Alligator mississippiensis: one gene and its partners. The protein of the gene in region 3 interacts with the protein of the main gene of each other region in a pairwise test. Links are inferred from orthologs where the notes say so. Each region holds a gene or a part of one and is shown on either strand. Other genes may lie near its edges.

What was found.
Region 1: the proteins of EPB41L3 (region 3) and MBIP interact in a two-hybrid assay, tested with the Homo sapiens proteins (2 studies listed by BioGRID). The two-hybrid records come from large-scale screens. The link is inferred for Alligator mississippiensis from reciprocal best matches to the Homo sapiens genes EPB41L3 and MBIP.
Region 2: the proteins of EPB41L3 (region 3) and YWHAG interact in binary tests that used the Homo sapiens proteins (3 or more experiments, as listed by UniProt). The link is inferred for Alligator mississippiensis from reciprocal best matches to the Homo sapiens genes EPB41L3 and YWHAG.

What each region holds. Positions count from the first base shown.
Region 1 is NC_081825.1:257,639,598-257,646,524, forward strand, and holds the start of MBIP (MAP3K12-binding inhibitory protein 1), read right to left. Parts: upstream 3,104-6,927; 5' UTR 3,062-3,103; coding exon 2,936-3,061; intron 1-2,935. UniProt on the Homo sapiens protein: Inhibits the MAP3K12 activity to induce the activation of the JNK/SAPK pathway. Component of the ATAC complex, a complex with histone acetyltransferase activity on histones H3 and H4.
Region 2 is NC_081837.1:16,884,193-16,892,039, forward strand, and holds the start of YWHAG (14-3-3 protein gamma), read left to right. Parts: upstream 1-4,816; 5' UTR 4,817-4,989; coding exon 4,990-5,076; intron 5,077-7,847. UniProt on the Homo sapiens protein: Adapter protein implicated in the regulation of a large spectrum of both general and specialized signaling pathways. Binds to a large number of partners, usually by recognition of a phosphoserine or phosphothreonine motif.
Region 3 is NC_081826.1:92,350,594-92,358,422, forward strand, and holds the start of EPB41L3 (band 4.1-like protein 3), read right to left. Parts: upstream 3,010-7,829; 5' UTR 2,845-3,009; intron 1-2,844. UniProt on the Homo sapiens protein: Tumor suppressor that inhibits cell proliferation and promotes apoptosis. Modulates the activity of protein arginine N-methyltransferases, including PRMT3 and PRMT5.

The DNA of each region.
Region 1 (6,927 bases), on a different chromosome or scaffold from region 3:
GCTACAATAGGTATGAGAATGGGGAATGCCTCAACAGGTGTGACATGGAAAATGTTTATTACTGTAAGTGTGCCTTGGGCTGGAAAAGGTTGGGAAACACTGGTCTAATGGCACCAAATATTATGGGTATGTATTTACTTCTTGATGACTTCAAAATATATTTTTTAAAGGGGGCAGACATTTGAAGGTTAAAATATGCAAGAAAAAAATCTAAAAGCACACTATACAGAAAGAGATTCAAATGTAAATAAAGTAAATATACAGGACTGCTAGCAGTAGTTTGGAGGCAAAGCAATTAAAATACTAAAATGACTGGGTAAGCACTGGAACTGTCTTAATACTACTCCTATCTGGAAAGGAGCCTGATCCTCCATTCTTTATGCAGGGAGAACGGCTGGATTAAGTTTAAAATCAGGCCCCAAGTCAATCTGCAGGAAAGCAGATGGGGTTAGCAATTCTTATGAAGGCAGAAAAACTAGTGACCTAAATAGCAAGTTTATACAACTTTTTTCTATTTACCAAACTACTAAAAACACATAACATAGGCTAAACTTTCAATCTTTTTGTTCACATTCATATAATACATATCATAAATCTCTCTCAAGCAAGAGGTTTTCCTCTTTTCAATGCTCAATCTAAACCCTGGATAGCAAGTGGGGGGAAAACATGTTTTTAGACCCTAGGCTAATGTTAGAATACCTCATTTACTCAAGAAAATGAAGTTTTACTTATTTCTCTAAGCCAGCATTACCAATCACATACCTACATGTGCACACAGCCTGAGCTGTTCTATCTCCCCCACTCCACAAAAAGGACACAGTGTTTTGAAAACTACTCATGATTTTTGTTATCCTGTCAGTGGAGGCAGAGATTTGCATTTAACAGATTAAAAACATGCTTCCCTCAAAGTTCCCCAGAGAATCTTTTTTGCTGAGAATAAAGTAACAACTATACATTTCATTCGGGCTTCTATATAGATATTTCAACATATGAAAATTTAGCAAGGTTTCTGAATGGGAATAACTTGGAGATTAGCAGTTTAAAAAGCTAAAGAGGCATGCTTATTCAAGCAGCTTTCAAATTACAAGTAAAGAATAATCCCTATAGCAAAGCTAAACCCTATTAATCCACACTTTTGTATATACTAGTGTGCTAGCCTTACACAATGTCTTTGTATAGTGTGATAAGTGGACTATAATGTTTGTGTTTGATACTAGTTATTGCAGCTGCTACACTTTCATTGGCTGATGGTCTATTTTGCAGCAGTTTACAGTACGAGTAAGCCACTCCATCACAAAAGATATCCCTATGTGTCCCAACAGTAGACTGTGTTTTAGACTAGAACCACCTTGTTGTGAAATAAAATTGCTGTGGCTAAATTCTGTTAAGCCCCCTCACTCACTTCTCCATAGTGAAAACACTAGGATTCTGAACCTAGATGCAGCACCAACATGGCCAGGCTTTGAATAACTTGTGAAACACTAAAAGCAGTAATAGAAACTACTGTTTTTAAAACGGTTAATAGCCTTGCAGCTAATTTAGACTGTGGCTGTAGCCATGGTGATCCAGAAAATAGACAAAAAGCAAGGGATTTCTGATTACATCTTTTACTAGACTAACTGCATAGTTGGGATCTCTCTTTTAAGCCGGTGGACAGATTGTGTCATCTTTAGGAATGTGGCTGATCTTTTGTTTTTCACATAAGTTTAAAGATTTGATATTTTGGTTGCACTGTATAGTACAAGAAGAAAAAAGTGATTTCAGAATAGGAGACACATTGTGATGGCCAGAAAAGAGGAATTCTTCACTCCACTCAGTTCCTTTAATTAACAAAGAATTAGTACAGATGTTGGGAGGCATGTCTAATAGCAAAATGCTAACTAATCTTCACAAAATTCCAGTTGGAAAGGTAGGCAAGTGTTCTTATTCATTTTATAGATAGGAAAACTGAAAGAATGTGGGCTTTAATCTTTAGATTTTCAGGTCCTTAATGCTGCAGTCCCTCAGTATTGGAGAGCCAAGATGTTTACGGGCCTGAGCGATATGAAGCAGCTGTCATACCTGCTTCACTTGACCAGTACGGCCTGTGCAACTACCAAAAACAAAAAAAAAAAGGTATTGTCAGACTGCAGCGAGTTAGACCAGCAGACAACTGAGCAAACTTATATCTGAGGCTACTGAGTTCTACAGAAAACAGCCACCAAGCTGCACACGTTTCCCATTCTTTCCACTCACTCTTAAGTCATTGCTTACAATCCTGGGACCCTGCAAAATTCACAAACAAGAACTGGGGAAGCTCAGGCTGCAAGGCACCAGGAGCACCGAGCGAGCCTGCCTCTCCAGGAGCCACAACATCCTGACCAGGGCTCCCCCAGTCCCTTAAAGCACCATTTTTCAACCCATGGGTTGTGACCCAAAAGTGGGTCACAAGAATATAGAAAAAGGGTCAGGAACAAACTTTAAAAAAGGATTCTCCTTCAAAGGAGAAAAACGTGGGAAACCATGGCTTTCCCCTCGCAGGCTGGCAGAGCTCCAGCCTGCGAGGAGTTGCTCTGCCTCTGCTCCACACACTGGGGGGGGGCTGGAGCCTGGGGGCAACGGGTCAGGACTGGCCACCGATGTTTACAAATGGGCCCTGACACAGAAAAGGATGAGAAGCGCTGCCTTAAGGGAGCTTCGCGGGGCCCCCACGAACACGCTCGCGGGCGGCATGAGCCCGAGGAAGGGGCGGGCGCCGGCCCATAGTCAGGGCGCCCACGACCAGACAACCAAGTGACCGACCCCGGAAGGGCCCCGCCCCGCCCCGGGGAGGCGCGAAGCGGCGACCCGAGCCCGGGGAACCCCAGCGGGGAGCGCCCCCTGGCCCCGCCGGGCGCTGCGAGAAGGGGGAGGGTGCGCAGCCAGCGAGACTTGCCCGGCCCGGCCCCGCACAGACCTGCCCCGCCAACTCGGCCAGGGAGCGCAGGGCACCGCTCAACGCCTCCCCAGCCGTCGGGCCGGCGCCAACCTCCGAGTCGCAGGCATAGGCAGGACAGTCACTGAGCTCCACCACGGCCGCCATAACAGCAGGCTAAGGCCAGGGCCGGGCCCCGCCTCCCGCTGCCGGCGCGCGGCGATGACGGGTCACGCGAGCCCGGACCGCCACCCCGCCCACCAGCCTGACGGGCAGGCTCCGCAGCCAATCCGTGGTTCCCGCCGCTGCGAGGCGGGTCTTGCGGCTCCGGGAGCGTCTCCGCTTTGGCGTTCGCAGCGCTGACCCCGAAAGGGTTAAAAACTGCTGAGGCTGGTCCTCCCCTTGCCTCGCCGGGGCTGCGGCGCGAGAGCGGCAGTGACAGGAGGCTGTGGCCTGGCGAGGGCCCTGCCCTATCCTGTCCCGCCCCCACCCAGCGGAGCTGCAGCGCCTTGGGCGCCCGCCGGGGAGCATGGGGCTTGCCGTGCCCCGAGGCCCTGAGAGGGGCCCGCCTCTTGCTTGTTCCTGTGGCAGCGCCCCCGCGAGGGTAGCTCTTCCCGGCCCTGGCCTCTGTATCATGAGGCCCCCACAGCCCCTTCCCCACCCCCCCACCTCCAACGGTGCTAACACAAATCATCCGCTCTCATTAGCCCGCAGGTGACCCGGGTCGGTCGGTCGTGGTCTCCACAGCATGGCTCTTGCAGGCTTTCGTGTTCTCTGCTGATGCCAAGGGGTGGGCAAGGGCCCCCTGGGGGCAGCCAGTCTTCCCCCTTGGTGCCTGGCCTTTTGGCACCCCAAAGGCCTGGTATAGATATAAGTGTTTGAAAACCGGCCAGTACCTGTAACAGAACAGTTCAGCATGCACAGACTGATTTAAAAATGGCAGAACCCAGTGTAGGATTTGCGCATCACCCCCACGGGCAATTGTGTGTGCTGTTCACTGCCGATCTCTAGAATCGTAGAAAACGAGGGTTGGACTAGGTGACCAAGAGGTCATCTAACCACCCCCCTGCTCAAAGCAGGACCGTCCCTAACTAGATCATCCCGGCCAAGGCTTTGTCTAGCCAGGTATTGAAAACCTCCAAGGATGGAGGTTCCACCACCTCTCTGGGTAACTTGTTCCAGCATTTTACTACCCTCCTGGTGAGAAAATTCTTCCTAATGTCCAACCTAAACTTCCCTTGCTGCAACTTGAGACCATTGCTCCTTGTTCTGTCATCTGCCACCACCCTCTTTCTAACCCCCCTTCAGGTAGTTGAAGGCTGCTATTTAATCACCTTTCAGTCTTCTCTTCTCCCTCAGCCTCTCCTCAAAAGTCATGAGACTTACAGAAAATTGCACAACAGATTGAATCTGCCTTGAGCTTTTTGTATGTAGCCGAATTGCTGGCTTTCCTGTGCAATGGCTTGTTCTCCATGGTCTTTATGTGCCTCTGGATTTGAGAGTCATTCTGTCATGGTAGGATCTGCCTGGTGCCTTGGGTCCACCTAGGCTGTACTGTAGAGCAGTGTGACTCCTGTCCCTGTCTCCACCCTAGCCCTGCCACTTGTAAGAACACAGCAACTTGAGTTCAAGAACCTTGTTATTTTGACATGCTGGGTAAATAAATAGGCTTACACCATAAGGACAAGGGCTCGTTCTATTACAGCCTCATTTTCATTCCCTGTTGCATCCAGGATGTCTCTGGGGGATTTTATCCAGAGAAGTGCAAGAGAAGCCAAAGCAAGTTCTTCAAGCCATACACTGGTTTCTTGGGATGTTATCAATCAGGCAGTATTAACAAGAACAACCCCATACAGCAGAGAATAAACAAACATACTCACTACCAGTGGCAAGGTCTCAGGACCCTCAGAATTTGTCCTCAGGGTTTGACACACATTTCAGACTTCCACCCCTCAGCCTTTGTGTGTGGTGGGGTTATACAGTTTAGGTTCAGATTTGTGTATTCCTGCCCATTCCTATGAAATAAGGATCTCTTGGCTAATTCACTAGGGAGCAGGGAAACTGAGTCATGGTCTATGACCATTGTTTTTTCCTAGGGTCCCCTTATTAGCATTGGGTGTGATCAACGGCCTATGAATCTCAACTCCCTTGAAAATCCCTCACAACCCACTTCTCTCGCATGCCAAACGTGATTCAGACTGAACTGCTTCTAGAATCAGAGTATCTGGGTCTGAAGGGGCCTTGTGGAAGATGTGTAACCTGGGTGGCTATCATCTTGTCCCCATCCGCATTTGCTGCTGATGAAATGGCTTCTGTAGTTCTCACCACCAAAGGTTAGCAACATGTAGATCTGCCCTGTGGAGACTTGTGTCTAGACTGCATAGTTGAGGTGGAAGGGGTCTTTGCCCACACCACAGTTGGGTGATGGGGGTTGCCCACACTGTATTACAACTGTACAGCAGGAAGAAGTGGCAACACTGGGGCTTTGCTTGCACTGCATTTAGCAGCAAGGGCCATGTTGGAAGCACTGGCCTACCTCCAACCCAACCTTGTCAACCATGGCTTTCAATGACCTGAGTTACTGGGCATCAGGTAACCTGGGTTCATAGGGTTGTAGGACTGGACTGGATAAGACCTTGTGAAGTCATCTAATCCAGACCCCTGCTCAAGGCAGGATCATGCCTGACTAAACCATCCCAGCCAAGTGTCTCTCCAGCCTACTTTTGAAAATTGCCACTGATGGAGATTCCAGAACTACTCTATTTAGCAAAAAATTCCTTCTAATATCCAATCTAAAATTCCTCTGCTGCTCTTGAGGTCATTGTTCCTAGCCCTGTCCCTTATGGCCACAGAGAATAGTCTGTCTCCATCCACCCTGTAACTGGCCTTCAGGCTGTTAACAACCCACCCCTCTGTCTTCTCTTCTCCAGATTAAATAACCATAGATCTTTCAGCCTTTCTTCATGTCATGCTTTCTAAGCCCCTAATAATTTTTGTTGCCCTCTACTGGACTCTTTCCAATCTGTTCACAACTTTCTTAAAAGTGTGGGTTCCCAAACTGGACATGGTACATGAGGTGCAGCCTTACCAAAGCCAAATAGAATGGAAGAATCACTTCCCTAATGAAAGCCCTTACACAGGTTTCCTAGGTAACATTGTTGAGAGTCTTGAAGCTTCAGAGTTTGCCTTTGCTGCAAGAATAGCTGTGTTTTTACTCCAGGATAACTAATACAATGAAGACAGATTTTCCAAGAAATGAACTCACAGAGATGGTGGCGTAGGGTTGACCTAGGTGAGTTTACCTCACAGTACAAGTGCTTTTTTTCATTGTGTTCTTCCATTGGGATATTTCATGCATGTTTTTACCCAGAGGTAAAAAGATACATTTTAGTAGTGAAGATGAGGCTTCAGTTTCATTATATGCAACATGAGGATACCACTGATGCCTGTTAAAAGCAGTATGTCAGTGGCCTGGTGCTACTTGCTTCTAGCTGACTGGTGTTGTTTAAGGGAATGTCAGGGGAAATGTTGCTAGTAAGGAGTTGCTGCTCTTACCAGGTGTTGCTGAAAATGAGCATTGCCTGTGATAATCTTTTTCTACCTCACAAGGAAATTGTAAAGCTAATAAAAAAAAATTGTAAACCAGCTTGAGATGTTTTAATAAAGGTAGTAGGAAACCAAATTAAATGAGTTTTAGTACTGTCTTTACTGTCTATTACTGATATTAATGCAAGTATTTCTAAAGCTTCTCTCACTGGACAAACCTTTACATGGCTTAACTTAGTGTAAACACTTCTGAGGAAATAGGCTGTACTTAATGTTTCCCTGTGCAAATAAGCAAAATACCCAAAGCAACTGAAATGAATAAACACTGGCCATCTTCACAGAAAAAAAAATACAGGGAGCTTATAATGCCCACCATTTGCAAACAGAACAAAAAGCTGTGTTTTTCATGAAGGTCTGAAATGGGCTATACTTGGGATCACTTGGATTTCTAAGAGGCAGGGCAAACTTTTGGGAGATGAAAAGCCTGT
Region 2 (7,847 bases), on a different chromosome or scaffold from region 3:
GATGCTCAACATTACTAGGTGCCTTTAAAAATGCTGATCTCTGCAGAGGTGTAACGCAAGAAGGAGGAGGGTCCCTGCTTGCTGGTTTTCCCTCTAGTGTATCTGCAACACACAGAGCAGGATTTTCTCAGTAAAATATGAGATTATCTATTTAAGATTATCTATTATCAATATGCATTTTGATAGAGCCATAAGCAAATATGTCGCAATCCAGAGATTAAGAGGCCTTCCTTTGTGGAAGTCAATGGGAGTTTGACTGTTGAGTTCAATGGGTTTTATCCATGGTTCCTAAGATTTACATTGCAAATTAGACAGTGACAGACCATGAAGACAGACAAAGAAAGGAAGTAGAAAAAGAACAGACATCTAAAATTGTTGCATATCATATGAGGAAAAGATATGAGCTCATATACTTTTTAGTCTCCAGAAACCATTTATTAAAATAATTGATTCCTATTGGGCTTGGGAACTATCACCAAAAATATCTTGAATAAATCCTTGTAATATTATTAATAATTATCTATAAAGCACCACTTTCAAAAGAGTTACTGTCCTTAAGTGCTTATACTATTGTTGATTACTGTTGTAATATGCTACAATGAATTTCAAATTGATTTTTCCCTTCCATAATAGTTGTGGCAACAACTTGTCACCAAATTTTAGAGGGACACAACAGGATACAACTTCAGCTATTAACCCCATGAATGCCAACACGATTTTTGTATTCTGTACCAGGTGTGGTACTTATAACACTGCACATAATTCTCATTCATGTATGTAATTTGCATAAAGGGTGTTTGGTGTGAGGTATCTAGGAGCCATACAGTAACGGATAAATGCAAAGCAGTGCCAGACACAAAAGGCAGCCAGACAGCATTCAAGAAAACACAAAGCTCTGCTGAAAAAGGATCCTGTTCCAACTGGTTAAAGGAATGGAGAAAAATAAAACCAAAAGAAGGTATTTCTCTAAACTGCTTAAATGCACAGAGTTTACAGGGAAACAGCAAGAATACTGATAGCTGCTGAGGAACCTTGACATAGGAAAAACCTGTTCTCATCCTGACTGAACCTAGAAACCGATTACAGACCTGACCAAGATGGCCATAAATTCCTGGTTAGGTTATGAAGTTGGGCCATGACCTCTTGGGTACTTCAGGCTGAGATGATGAAGGGGTTTATATTTAAGTACAAAGATCTTGATGTGTGTGTTTTAGGTAACAGTGACCAAGTGAGTACCATGAGAAGCAAATGTAGCTGACTTCCTCAGGCATATCTGAGGAGTTAGCAGACAGCTGTTTTTTCCACCTGTCATAGTCTGGTGGTGAATTAGAGAGAAATCCAGTTTGGAGCCCAAGGTTGTAGTGCAGCCTGGATGTGATGGAGGATGGACACAGCAGTCCCCACGGGGCAGTGGTCTTTGCTGCTCAGCTGCTACAACACAGGGAGAGGAATGCTGTAGGGGACTCCCATGAGGAAGGGAGTAAACTTAGGGGTAAAGTGTCCACACACAAGGACAGGATGGTGATCCAGACCAACCTTGACACACACAGAAAATGGGTGAACGAAAACCTGATGGCCTTCAACACCAAAAAATGCAAGGTACTACACCTTAGGAAGAAAAACCTGCAGCGTGCTTATAGGCTTGGCAGTGCTACACTTGCTAGCACCATGGCCGAAAGGGACTTGGGGTCATGATTGACCACAAAATGAACATGAGCCACCAATGTGATGTTGCAGCTGGCAAAGTGAGCAAGACTCTGACTTGCATCCATAGATGCTTCAGGCAAATCCCAGGATGTAATTCTCCCACTGTACTCGGCCTTTGCAAGGCTGCAGCTGGAGTACTGTGTCCAGTTCTGGGCTCCACAATTCAGGAAGGGTGTGGAGAAGCTTGAGAGTCTAGAGGAGAGCCACGTGCATGATCAGGGGTCAGGAAAACAGGCCTTATGATGAGAGGCTGAGAGCTATGGGACTTTTCAGCCTGGAAAAGCGCAGACTCAGGGGGGACCTGATGGCTGCCTATAAGAATATAAGGGGTGTACATCAGGATCCGGGGGAATGCCTGTTCACCAGAGGGCCCCAAGGGATGACAAGGTCAAACGGTCACAAACTTCTCCAAGACCGTTTCAGGCTGGACACAAGGAAGAACTTCTTTCCTGTCCGAGCCCCCAAGACCTGGAACAGATTGCCACCAGAGGTGGTGCAAGCACCTACTCTCGACTCCTTTAAGAGTCAATTGGACATTTACCTTGCTGGGATCCTGTGACCTCAGCTGACTTCCTGTCCCTGGGGCAGGGGGCTGGACTTGATGATCTTCTGAGGTCCCTTCCAGCCCTAATGTATATGAATCTATGAAACCTATGAAGGGGAGGCACAGAATGATGTTGGTGCTGGACAGTTCCATGGCAGCTGAGAGCAACTGTTGGGGCTGGGCAGCTGGATCTGGGGATGGGAGATGCGGGCCTGAAGGCAGTGAAGAGATGGGTGGATGGAAAGGGAAAAATGGGGAACAGGCAGCAAAGCAATCAGAGCAGTAAGTCATCACCAGGGTGGAGAAAACCAGGGTCCAAGAAAGAAAAGCAGGGTATGAAACCCAGCTGGGAGATGAAGAAGGCTCCTGGCTAACCTTCCTCTCAGCACAGAGGGGACATGAGGCACTTGGACTAATGGCCATTGTTAGGCTATGAATGCTAAAATGCCTCATTCTCTGCTGCTGTGAATAACTCAATATCTATGCGGGAAGAGTTGGTAGTGGGGAGGCTGAGAGGTTGATTCTCCTGATACTGTGGGACAGAAATTGAATGTGGGCTGATCTCATAGTTACAGCACAGGACTAGGTGGCAGGGTGACTTCATTCCATCCCTGGCTCTGCCACAGACTTGCTTTGTGGCTTCTGGCAAGTCACTTAACCATTCATAAGATGGAGATGACATGGTGGTTGGGAGGCTTGATTCATTACTGTGTGTTCAGCATTTTGAGATCCTCAGGTGGAATGGGATGTAAAGGGCAATATATTATTATTTAATGTAATGTACTTAGGGTACACACTTGCATCCATGGTTATCAAACCAAGGGACAGTGGGTTATCGCAACATATTTATGCTGGTCTCAGTCCTAGTGAGTGTATACTAGTGATGATGACCATTATGATGGGTAGGTATCTGTGGTGCACATTTGGGATGGCATCCCTCATGATTGAGACCATATCTTTTGTAATGAAAGCCCCCAACTTCCCAGATAGTTTGGAGGAGGGGAACATTCTTTTTATACCCCAAACTTGGTTATTAGTATGTATTATGGCAGCCATCTTGCTTAATAACCACATCTGTTTATACCTGACATTTATTATCCATCTCCAAAAATGTATTGGCTGTCTCATCAAGGGGGTGAAGGAAAGAACAGGCTATGGAGACAACTCAATTTTCACTTCTGGAGGTGAAGCTATCAGGTTCAAAATAAGTACTTGGAGGAAATGTGCATTAGTACTAGTGCATTGCAGACTTGTTCTCTGATATGAAATCTCTAAACTTCCTTTTATAAATCTCTGGAATGTTTTATACATGTTGCTATGTCTACAGGCTTTTTGGGGAAAAAGGTCTCTCTTTAAGTTTTCCAATGAAATTCATAATGTGGAGTTAAGATTACCCTGGTACATAATGAATATGCCTTTTTATTTATTTTTTAATTGATGAATTAACATAATGCACTCATTGGCTTGCCACTCATGGATTGTATGGTGTCATTCCTAACAATGTTTTTCCCTTCCAAATTGATTGGAACCATCCCTATTCCCGCCCCCCATGTCCTCCTAGCTGAACTGTTGAATATTACTGGGTGGGGGAAATAAACCACTCTGCAGTTACCCTGACACAGTGACTCAGCAACATAGTATCACCATTTAATAATATAATAATACATATGATACTATAATTGTCACCATGTAACTTTTTGTGCTATATAGGGCACCTTGCCAAATCATAATACTACTTTTCATTTCTATAATATGGTACTGTTCATCCAAGTATCTCAAAGCTCTTTAAAACATTAATTGAACCTCCAAATTATTCTGTAACATAGCAAAGTACAAGCACTGCCTGTTCCAAAGATTTAGAGCCTGCCTCCAAAAATCCTGAGCTTCTCTTAAAAATCATGAGCTTAAAATAGGACATTTTGTGGTTTTTATTTGCCTTGCAGCTGTTTGGCTTTTTAAGGTGTGCTCTGGTCAGGTTGTTCTTTGCAACGAGGAGGGCCAGAAACGAATGATTTTTAAACCCAAGCTCCAATTCTCACATCATCACCTGCCCCAAGGAATTGAAGCCTAAAGGAAGGATCCCAAATATCACAAGTCTTGGAACAGGTTCCCCAGACAGGTGGTGCATTCTCCATCCTTGGTGGTTTTTTAAAGCCTGGCTGGGATGATCGAGTTGGGGCTGGTCCTGCTGGGGCAGGGTGTTGGACTAGATGTGACCTCCGGAGGTCCCTTCCAACCCGCATTTCCCATGGCTCTAGGACAGGGGTCAGCAACGTTTTTTGGGGCAGAGTGCCAAAACCACCTGCAACCTCCACCGGGAACACGGCCCCGCACCACGTGCTGGTCGCGGGGCGCCCCGGGGCCACTGCCAGCAGCTCCGGTGTGAGCGCGCGGCCCCGCCCAGCGCGTGGCGGGGGTGGGGGCTGCCCGGGCGCGGGGGATTCTGGGAGAGCGAGTCCGCCTCGGGCGGCGCCGCGCACTGCGAGTCCCGGCGTGCCTCGCGCGGGGGGCGGGGCCGCGTGACGTGTAGGGGCGGGGTCGTAGGGGGTGTCCTGGGCGCGGCGCGCACAGCAGCGGGTGCAGCCGCCGCCGCCGGAGCCGCAGCAGCAGCAGGAAGAGGCGCCGCCGCCGCCGGAGCCGCCTTGGTCGCCCGCTCGCTCGCCCGCCCCGAGCCGCCGCCGCCTCCCGCCGTCAGCCCAGCCCAGCCCCGCTCCCTCCGCTCCGCGCCCGGCGGGAAGATGGTGGACCGCGAGCAGCTGGTGCAGAAGGCCCGGCTGGCCGAGCAAGCCGAGCGCTACGATGACATGGCGGCCGCCATGAAGAACGTGAGTCCGGCCCGGCCCGGCCCCGGCGCCTGCCTCCCCCTCGCTCCCCCCTCGCGGGTGCAACAAAGGGCCCGGGCGGGCGGGCGGGCGAGGCCCGTGCCTCCCCTCGGCCCCCCGCCCGGGGCAGAGGAGATGCCCTCGGAGCTGAGGAGATGCCGTCGCCCCCCCACCCCACCCCCACCCCGTGTCTGGGCGGTGCCCTCCCCGCCAGCTGCCCTGGCCCCCTCCCCGCACCCTCCCTCCTTGCCTGCCTGCCTTCAGTCCTGGGCTTAAAATCTAGAAAAATCACCCCGTGGTGTCGGGGTCCCCTGCCGCCCCCGGTCCCTGCCCGCCGCCGCGGGGGCTGGAGTGACCCCCCAGAGGGCGGCTGAGGATCCTCGGAGGGACTTGCCTCGAGCCACATGAGGGATGCGTGTCCTTCCTCGCCCGCCGCCCGGCTCTCTCTCTAGCCGCATCCTCCGCTCGGTGCCCGATTCCCACGACTAGCGCGGACTGGTGTCCTCCGTGACTTCTAAGTCTTTAATGGCTCACGCTTATTTCCTTCCTTTTTTTTTTTTTCCTTTTAATTGCGTTTCAAGATCTCTGAGCTGAGTCAGGGTTGTCTTCATTTCACGCTCTTAAAATAAAGGCTCTGCGTTTTAGCGGACCCATCTGGTTTGTGACACCTTAATGTGTCTTTTTAATTAATACTGACACACATTTTTTTGACAATCTAACAAAAAAAAAAAAAAAGCCTCTCTGATCTGATCTTGCAAACAAAGCAATCGTGGGAGGCAGTATCAAGTCATTCCAGAAGATTCTGCATTTGTCATATTGCAGAGAGGCTAGACTGGGTGGAGGGAGGGAGGGGTTGCTTTAAAGGGGAAAACTGTTCTTTTATATTTGTCTTCTTGGTCAGGTCTGAGCCTTTAAGAGAAGCTGGGGTGTCCTCCCTTGCTGATGAGAAGTGAATGCTGATCTAGGAATGTCGCAGTCTCTTGAATGCAGCTCCATTCGCTTATATTGCACCATTTTGTCAGTAACCTTGCATTTATCATATGGGCAGAACTGTCACAGCCTGAGAATGGGATGGGAGTTGTACCTCCATAAATGAAATGTGGAACAATCGGAACAAAATGAGCTTGACAGCGGTTCGGTGGCTTTAATACATGAGCTGCTCTACTGCAGGATTGAATTTTCCATTTTTTTTTTTTTATTTTAATTTTTTTTTTTTTTTGTAGAGCCCTGAGCTTTGGTTTAAATGTATGTGTGCAAATATTAAATATTTTATTCAGGTAATATATAGCTACTGCTATCTAAAACAGAACATAGACTTAAATGCAAAGTAATCTTATTCCAATATATTTGTTTCTCCACAGATATAATTGGTATGCTTCTTCCCCTCCCCCCCTCAGTTCTGTATTCTTTTTTAGAAGGAAAAGGCTGACTTAATAAAAGGTCATGATTACTTTTAATGGCCATCATGAAACGGCAATCTGGACTGTTGCATCTCCAGTACATTGGAATCGGTTTCCTATAGCTGAACTATACTGGAGGTGTTCGAGCTCTTACTACATCACACGTGCACACAAGCAGCATTTCATTTTCTTTTCCTTTCTCTTTTTTTTTTTTTCCCATAACCTGGAAAATGCTACTTGGATCTATGCATGGTCCTATCTTACTGGACATGTTGCACTGATTTATTGTCCCATCTAATCACCCATTCCCCTCCCCATCTCCAGTTGTGCAGGAGGCTTGTGACCTCGGACTCATTTCCGTAGCAACGCAGTGATGTCAGAAGCAGTGGTACAAGCTGCATTGCACCCAGGTGGTAGCAGAGAGCATGCAGATTGCATATTTCAGAATTGATGCAGAAATGTTACCATGTAGTTATCCAGTGGGATTAACGTTCTCCCAGAAACTAGATGATAGATCTTTCATATATCTTTTGACAACTAATGCATGACAAATCATTCCTGACAGATCATTAGATCAAGCATGAATACCACCACTCTCACACTTGCTGCATGTCTTTCTTTATAAGATTGTATATAAAGAAAGCAGTGGCACCGTTTTTTTGTTTTTAGTGCAAACTCAAGTACAGTGCAGTAGTTAACACACAAGAACATAGTCACATCTTTGAAAATCAATTATAAGATTAAATGTTATTAATGACTAATGGGTTTGTGATGCAGCCTTCAGTCACTTAATTCAACAAACCCAACCCATACTTCCTTGGAAGCTTTTAAATAGAATAATTGCAGTTAGGGTTTCTTATTGGACATAGCATGCTGGACTCTTTCTAAACACATCATCTACTGGGCAGCCTATTACTGCAGTGGAGTGTACAAAACTGAATAAAAATGTTTCCTTATTTGGTTATCATCTCCACATCTGAATATCTAGTAGGCACTTGATAAACTTGGTTTTTAAATTTGCTAACTACACAAATCCATTGTTGTGCTTGGGTAATGCCAATGAAGCTGGATAGTGATAGTGGATAGTTTATGCTCAATTGAAGCAGTGTGGTACTTCCTGTGCTGCATTAATTGCTATGAAGGATCAGGGGAAAACTGGCTTCTTGAGTGAGTACCTTTAGAAGTAATATTGCTGGATAGATACAGTACTGGACTAGGGCACAAGAGTGCCTTGCTTTAGTCTTGGTTGTGCCATTGACCTGCCGGCTGACCTTGGGCAAATCGCTTCATCCATCCCTTCATACACCCATACAGATGGGGCTATTACCCTTCGGTATGGTGGTCTGAGAGTCTCTGAAGAGCACAGAATGAGCC
Region 3 (7,829 bases):
AGACTATTAAATCTTATGTATTATAAAAGAATATTTATTTCAACTATAAAATGCTTTAATTTCTTCTTCCCAGCCATCACACATTTTCTGGAACAAGAGATTTGCATGAGCCAGGTTTAATCATCATCCATTTTCAAGAACTTTTCTATTTGTTAATTCAATATCATATTTGTAATACAAAGAGGATACCTTACATTAATTTTAAGAAGTAATAACCTTCTGAAAGGAATACATTTCCAATGCACAAAAAAGATCAAATATACCCAACAAAAATATATTTGTTATGTACCAAACTAACTGTAAATGTGTATATTGTTCATAAACAATGAAGCCCTCAAATACCTGTAATAAGAAGTTTTGTTCACTGAAGGTAATTATTTAACCATTTTCTGCTACAGATAACCTGCACATCACCTTGTTTCATCTGAAAGTATAAACAAGCATTAATTTCACCTCTGCTTGCCCCTCTTTCAGAAGCACGGTTCTCCGTAGTCACCAAGATGAGGCTAACCTCAGTCTCGTTCATTTAGCAGGCACAAAGTTATACCAACAAAGCTAGTCCAGACAGTTTGATTTGTGGTGCCCCACCCTCATTTCCTTGAGCCAGAGTGATGTCACAACATAAGGCAGCGCAATGACTTCACTGCTACAGTTCTCGTTGCTTCTGGGCACACACCCCTTCTTGCCATGACAAAGGCAAAACCTCTACAGCACAGCAGCAAACAGAGGCAAACACTCATGAAACGAGCTCCTAATTTATCCAAGGTTCCAGTAATACTGGCTAACCTTTTAAAACACACCAAAACAAAAAAAATACCATCAGCTGCATCATGAAACAGTACTTTAATGAGGTGGTACCACCATAAGAAATGACTTGAGGGGAGGAGTCATAGTTGACTACATTAGTCTGATTAAAGTAAAATATTATATATTTTAACATTTTCACAGTGCATTTAGGCTGGTGCTTTCTGCAGTTAATTATTCATCACTGCAGTGAACAGAAGCGTAGCAGAACAGAAGCTCAAGGAGCCTTTCTGCTCACACAGAATAAACTTGCAGTTGCTCCTCACTCCAATGCAGTGTTCTCCCTCCCTCCATCAAGTACATCATTACTGAAGTGCGGATTTCAGCCTCACACCAGAGTTGCAAATCCCATCCAAGCAAACTGGTGTGACAGTATTAAAAAAAAAAAAAAAGACCAATGCAGCATGTCTGCCATATTCTGAATTTAACCAATTAAATGACAAGGGAAGATGCAACACAACGATGAGCCTGACTTGTTACATTCCATGTAAAGGTTATCCTCCATATTTGTAGAAGGCAAGCTTATAATTAATTACTTCCATTTGCTCCAGATTTACTAGGCACTTTTTTTTTTTAAACATGTTTTACTTATTGGTCTACTGATTATAAACCAACTATGCAACTTCATATCACAATCAAATAAAAGCCTAAGAACAATAATTTAAGCACGAGAAAAGTATTTTATTTCTAGGATACAAAACTATAAAAGCCTGACAATGTATGAGATGTAGCTACTTGTACAAGCTCACTGATTGCACTGACTTCTGACCTGTAATTCTTCAATTCTTTTCACTCAAGACTACAAGTGAAGGCAGCAGCTTTTCTCCTTACTGCTTGAAAGGGATGCAATACCCAAGTGTGTGCAATCTTCTTCTCAAGTATAAGGAACATTTATGCATCTATTGAAAAAAAAATCCTATTCCGAGCAATGAGTACTTTATTGAAAAAACAGAACAACCCAGAAGTTTATGATGCTGCCAGAATAAAAAAAAAAAAAAAAAAAGCAGCGCTTGAAAACTAGTGCAACTACAAGGTGCTTTCCTGTCTTTAACGATTAGGGAAAGGCAAATTTTCCAGTTTCGTACAAATCTGTTGAAAGAAAAGTTTCAAGTGAAAACGTAAAAGCCCTCGTCACAGCTATGCCTGCTGCCCACCAGAGATGCTGGTCTCAGCTGGAACACAAGACCCAGGTCAAGGGGGCTAGCAAGAGGTTTTATGACAGAGCCACACCCTCATTTTCTTTTGGAGACCTTGGGAAAATCCCCGCAAAGGCCCAGGCCCACTGTTAGCAGCTGACAGAACAGGCAAGGCTCTGACAAGGCCCGCAACCAAGGTAGAACCAAACCCAACTCTCCCTGGCTTCAGAGCAGCACGAAGGTGTGTGCCCTGCCCGCTCACAGGCAGCATCTTAAGAGTGAGCCAGACCCCAGCCCACTAGAGTTCCCCACAGAGCCCCTCTGCCTGGAAGCGACCGACCCTCTCTTCTCCTCCTCAGTGCCCTTCCCCACCCTGCCCGCCTGATTCATGCCATCTGCTCCTCTCCATCTTCCCCACAAGGACTTCTCCTTGCCCTGGCCAAAACCCCGCGCTGCAGCTGAAGGAGAAGTGGGGTGGGGAAAGCAGCAGCCCCTGAGGGGACCTGGGCGCCTGCGAATGGAAGGAGCAGAAGAGGATAGAGCGCTGCCACTGCAGCGGTTCCGAGCCAGGAGTGACTACGTGACCACACCCACCGCATTGCAGAACCCGCGGCCGGGCCGGGCCGGGCCGGGCCGGGGAGCGGGGGGGGGCCAAAACACGCACACCAAGACCCTGGTCCTGCCCCGCTGCACCCCCGCACCAGTGCGTGCACTGAACCCCACCCCTCACACACACAAGCACAGGGAGTGCAGTGCACGCGGGCAGGCACCCCCATACGCGCTGCTGGATCCTGAGGCGAGGTGGGGAGGGGGCACGGGGATGCTACACACACACGCGCCCCCACTTAAAAATGGCTCCTGCTCGCTAGCGATGGATGTGGGAGCCTCCCCCCCCCGGAGGTACCTCGGCGGCGCGGCGCGGCGGCGGCGGCGGCAGCGGGTCCCCGCGTCAGCAGCAGCCCCGCGGAGCTCTGCCCAGGACTAGTCCTCCGCCAGCTCCCAGCAAATCAGGGCTGCGGAGGCTCCTCGGGAGAGGGAGGGGGAGGAGGGGGGAGCCGGATGCGGAGCGCGAGGGACCCGGCGCCGGGGGGGGGCGGACACGCCCGCTCTGCGCACACCCGCCCGGGTCGGGAGGCAGCGGCACTCAAGTGCCCGGATCTCCACCTGTGTCCTCTCCCCGCTGCCAGGCCAACCGCCCGGCTCGTCCGGCACAGAGAGGACAACTTCCCGTGGGCCAAAACGCCAAGAAAATAACCCCCCTCTAGGGAGCCAACATCTGGATCTGCCTCCTCCAGCCTTTCTGCCCCGCTTCTCCGTAGTCTAATGGCTTCTGCCTAGAGATCCTTTCCAAGGGTGCCCTGGGGTGTCACGCTGGGCCAGCAGACCTGGTGGAGATTTCAAAGAGGTGTTAAAAACCTTCTCGACCTGGTGCCATCCAAGCTCTCTGCACCAGCAAAACTGGTCTGATGTCTTTCAGGCGAGCTGGGGGGAAATGTCCTTTGCAAGCTGTGGGGCACAGTCGCCCTTTGTTGGGCATGGGGAGTCTCTGCTGGTCTGAGAGGCCAAGGAATGAGAGAAGCTAAACGTGTAGAGGGATGTCAGTGAGAATGTAAAGAGGGAACATATTTTCCTGGTATTTTTCTGCAGTTGAAAAATCCCGCAAAAAGGAAGAGCCGGCATCTTCTGAGTCTAATGAGGGGTGCCTCAAGCTTGCCTCCAGTCTAAAAAGGTCAAGAACCGCTGATCTAACCAGAGGCCAAGTGTTCCCTAAACTATTCCTCAAGTATTCCATGATCAGGGCCGGATTGACCTGTTGGCAAACAAGGCACATGCCCTAAGGCCTGAAGTGAAGAATGGGCCTAGTTGGGCTTATTTTACATATAATTATTGAGTAAAAAAGTAATATAAATATACTGTATTAAGTAGGGGCCCACAAGTTTGTTCGCCTAAAGTGTTGATCCAGCCCTGTCCATAATACTTTGAACCCCCTGGTGTTCTCCCCCCCAGCTCAACCACATCACAGAAATGCAGATCCAGAATCCTGCCAAATTTGGGCCTAAGCCCACAAGAGACAGAGTAACTTTTACTTCCCTTACTGACCATCCAAATAATCCTAGAACCCAATACAAGGAAGTACAGAAAACCACTTTGGGAACCTGCTGGGTTTTGGCTTCATTCTCCTACTCCTACCTGTTGAGTCTGGTACAAGTGCAGCTTCTTTGAGTACACGAAAATAAACTATCCCATTTGACTTGGTACAATGTAGGTTCTGGGAAACTCTGATATAGATTTTTTTTAATAGGTGCAGAACCAAATAAACTTGTTCTTATTTTAGGTATATTTTACCTAATTCAGTGAAAGGAGGACCTAGATGAATAGTGATCCATGCACTAGATCTGACCAACTACAGTGCTGCCATGGGGATGACGTGCTGCACAAGCAGCTAGACAGCAGATTTCAAGACAGAAGGTCCCAAAAAGAAGGACCCAGTTTTAACTCAAGCTCCCAATTATGGAAATTTTTCTTCTCCGGGACTTGCAAGTGGAGGGGGATTTTGAGTTTTGACAGTTTACAATGACCAGTTTCCCTGAACTGGTAATACAGGCTGCTTCATATTTAATGCAGAATAATCAGGGGTGGCTCCCTGATTACTTAGAATCAATAAGCATCAATAATAATAATGGGAACAGAACTAAGGGAGAAGTGAACTGAAATATTTAAGACTCATCTTACATTTGAAAGCTACTTAAATTTGCCTATGTTAAAATTTTGCAGCTACTCTAGATATACAGAAACTTTTTAAACCTGGTAACTTTTGAAACATCAGTACCTCAAACTATTAAAAACTGTGCATGAGAACCGCCACAAATGAACTGGGCTCACCATCACGGGGTGCGCCTCCACAAGCAGGAATATGCGTTTCCCTGGGGACAATTAGCAGTGGCACTGCTACGTGTCCCTGGGGAATGCCCCTGCGTGCTTGCTCTGGTGCACAGCAAGGTGCCCTTGGTAGGGTAGGGGAGGCTGCCTTGCCTGGGCTCCTGGGGGCCTCTCAGGACTGCAGCAGCGGTGATCCAGGTGCACAGACCATAGCCAGCCAGGCTCTAGTTTTGTGTGGCCCATACTGCTGCCATGTGCACCACCCCACTTCTTTTCAGTGCAGGTTTTTTTGACACTGGGATCTCCCAAGTGTCTGCAGCACTGGGAGACCGCACATGCACTCATGGGGACGCACCCATAGTGTATACCGCCATTGAAGTGGTATTTAAGAACAGTGAATTTACCATCTTCTATCTGAACTCTGAGGGCTTTATGAACACTTATTTAGCCCCATAATTGAACCATGCTAGACATGGAAAATGTTGACAGGAAACATCAAGTGGCTAGCATCTTGAATGACAAATCTGAGAGCTCTGTCTGGGCCTGAGTTTCAAAGTTGTTGAGTATCCACAGCAGTGGCAGCCAGTGAGATCTTCAATTGTTTGACATCCCAGAAGATCAGGTGCACAAAGGCTCAAAATTTTGCATGAAAAAAACCCTCAAAGAACAAAACAAAAGTACAAAAACTATAGTACACTACAGCCACTATGTCACTTGGCCACTTTTGAAAGTGCTGATCTTGATGCCAGTCATAAAAGAAGCCTACGAGACTATGAAAAGTTTTGTTCTTCAAAATCTGAACTGGGCTGGTTGGCCAGCCTGCGCGGTTTCTATTGCAATTATGAACAGAACAGGCACTTGAATCCATTGAATCAGCGGTTACTAAATGAAACAGTTCTGTCAGAACATATTCAGCCAACTCTAATCCATTACACACAGGTGTAGAACATGAATAACTCCATTGTACTTCTTAGTTATAGGAACGTGAAAGGAGAATCAGACCTAAAATCTTTCAGAATACTAAGAAACCCTAGCAACTCCACCTTTAACACAAAGATGTACCTTCTTTCACTACCCCTCCTTTTCCTTCTGGAGACTGGCTTTCAAATGTCAATGTCCGTAGCAAATTAAAATTAGTTAAATGGTTTTATCTTAGTTTCTGTGCACTTCCAAAAAACACTCTACAACCTGGTAAAATGGTCATAATTGTCAATTTCTGCTTAAAATAGAACCGTGAGTTGGCAAGAAAGAAAAACATGTTTCTGAGTTTCTCCCTAATCTTGCAGCTATTTACATATGTGCATAACTTCAAATATGCAAATAAACCTATTAATGGCAAAGCTATGTAGATGCTTGTTTTGAGCATCAGAAACTTAATACCTGAATGTACAGTTTGGCTCAAGCAAATGCTATAACAGAACATTAATAATCACAGTGATACAAAACATTTCCGTTCCATTTTCATGGGAAACAGCTGGGAGTTACTCAACCAACTTTTTTATTCTCTCCCCCCTGCCTCCAAACTCCTGCTGTTGAAAACAGTAAGAACTCCATGTTGCATGCTTTGTGGCTCTCCCTACAACCCCTGGCTAAGCTTGTTAGCATTACCTGCAACTCCACGCATCCCTCTGTTCCTACCACCAGCCCGTTTTATGCCACCTTTGCATCTCCTGTACAACCCTCCCCACCGCCACTGGAGAGACTTCCTGCAACTTCTCCCAATTTGCCCTTTCAGGATATGCATGTGACCCATATCCTCCTTCAGCCACACCAGGCTCTCCTTTTTCCTTCATGCCAGTGGCTCTGCATCTCCTAATCCAAGGTCCGTCAATCACACTCCAATGGCAGGAACTGTTTATGCCTCTATATCAGGCACAGAGATACCATGTGTTCCCCCTCCCCTACAGGACTGCTCTATTCACTCACAATGTCAAGGACTTTGAATGCACCCTCTAATCCCCATTATTTCTATTACAGTCATGTCAACAGTATCCCTTTCCTCTCTCACCCCCATGTATGATGGGTGCTGTCTGCCTCTTCTTCCTATATCCATCAATTTCCCCCTCCAACAGGGGATCCAGGTACACCTATTGTTCCTCCTCATTCTATCCCAGGACCCTTATCCTCTCACATGGCAGGGGCCATGTGCATACCCTCATTCCCCATTCTGGCCCACCATCATCGTTATTTGTTTAAGATGCAAGTAATTTTTCATGTCATTTTTTTTGAGGCGAGCAAGACCTCTATTATCCAGGCATTTGATTCACAAATAATTGCAGAGGTGCTGAAGAAACAGCTTCTTTCTTCCCTCTTTTTGTTACTCCAATTTTCCCTCAAATCAATAGGGTGCAGAGAAGCGCTGCACTGCCTAGAATGTTCTTAACATTTTGGAACTGATTGGATGCAGCATTCAACATTTATCTCATCAGAGAGAGTCAAAGCAGAGAGAAATGCCATCAAGTTGAGTGCAAGGTCTTCTCAAAGTTCAGCCAACAATGAATTAGGTTGGATACAGCATTTTGAAAAATGAGAAGTACTACGAGGGTCGTAGTATTATTAGAGTAGTATCAATATGATACTTTTCAGCAGACACCAGTTGGGCATTACATGTCTAGACAGTTAGATGATTTTAGATTTACACTGATTTTTTATTACTATATCCACTTCAATTTATTAAAAGCAAACTGTTCTGCCCATGACTCATTCCACTTAACCTTCTGCATGGCAATGAAACAAAATTTTAGTAATTAAGAATGATCACTGTGCAGCAATCAAGATAAGACGTTGGAAATTAGACTGCATCTTCCATTTCTTTCTATACAAATATAAAACCTGTACATCTATGTTCAGCCAAGGTTGGGATTTTCATAACAAAAAATGTTTTAAAAAAGAACACAAACTTTTGAGAGAGATGAATTCTGAATATCAAACCATTGTGCTCTCCTTATATGTATGGCTCTGGAATGTAGATACATCTAGCAGGTTTGGTAATTAAATAGATCTAATTCA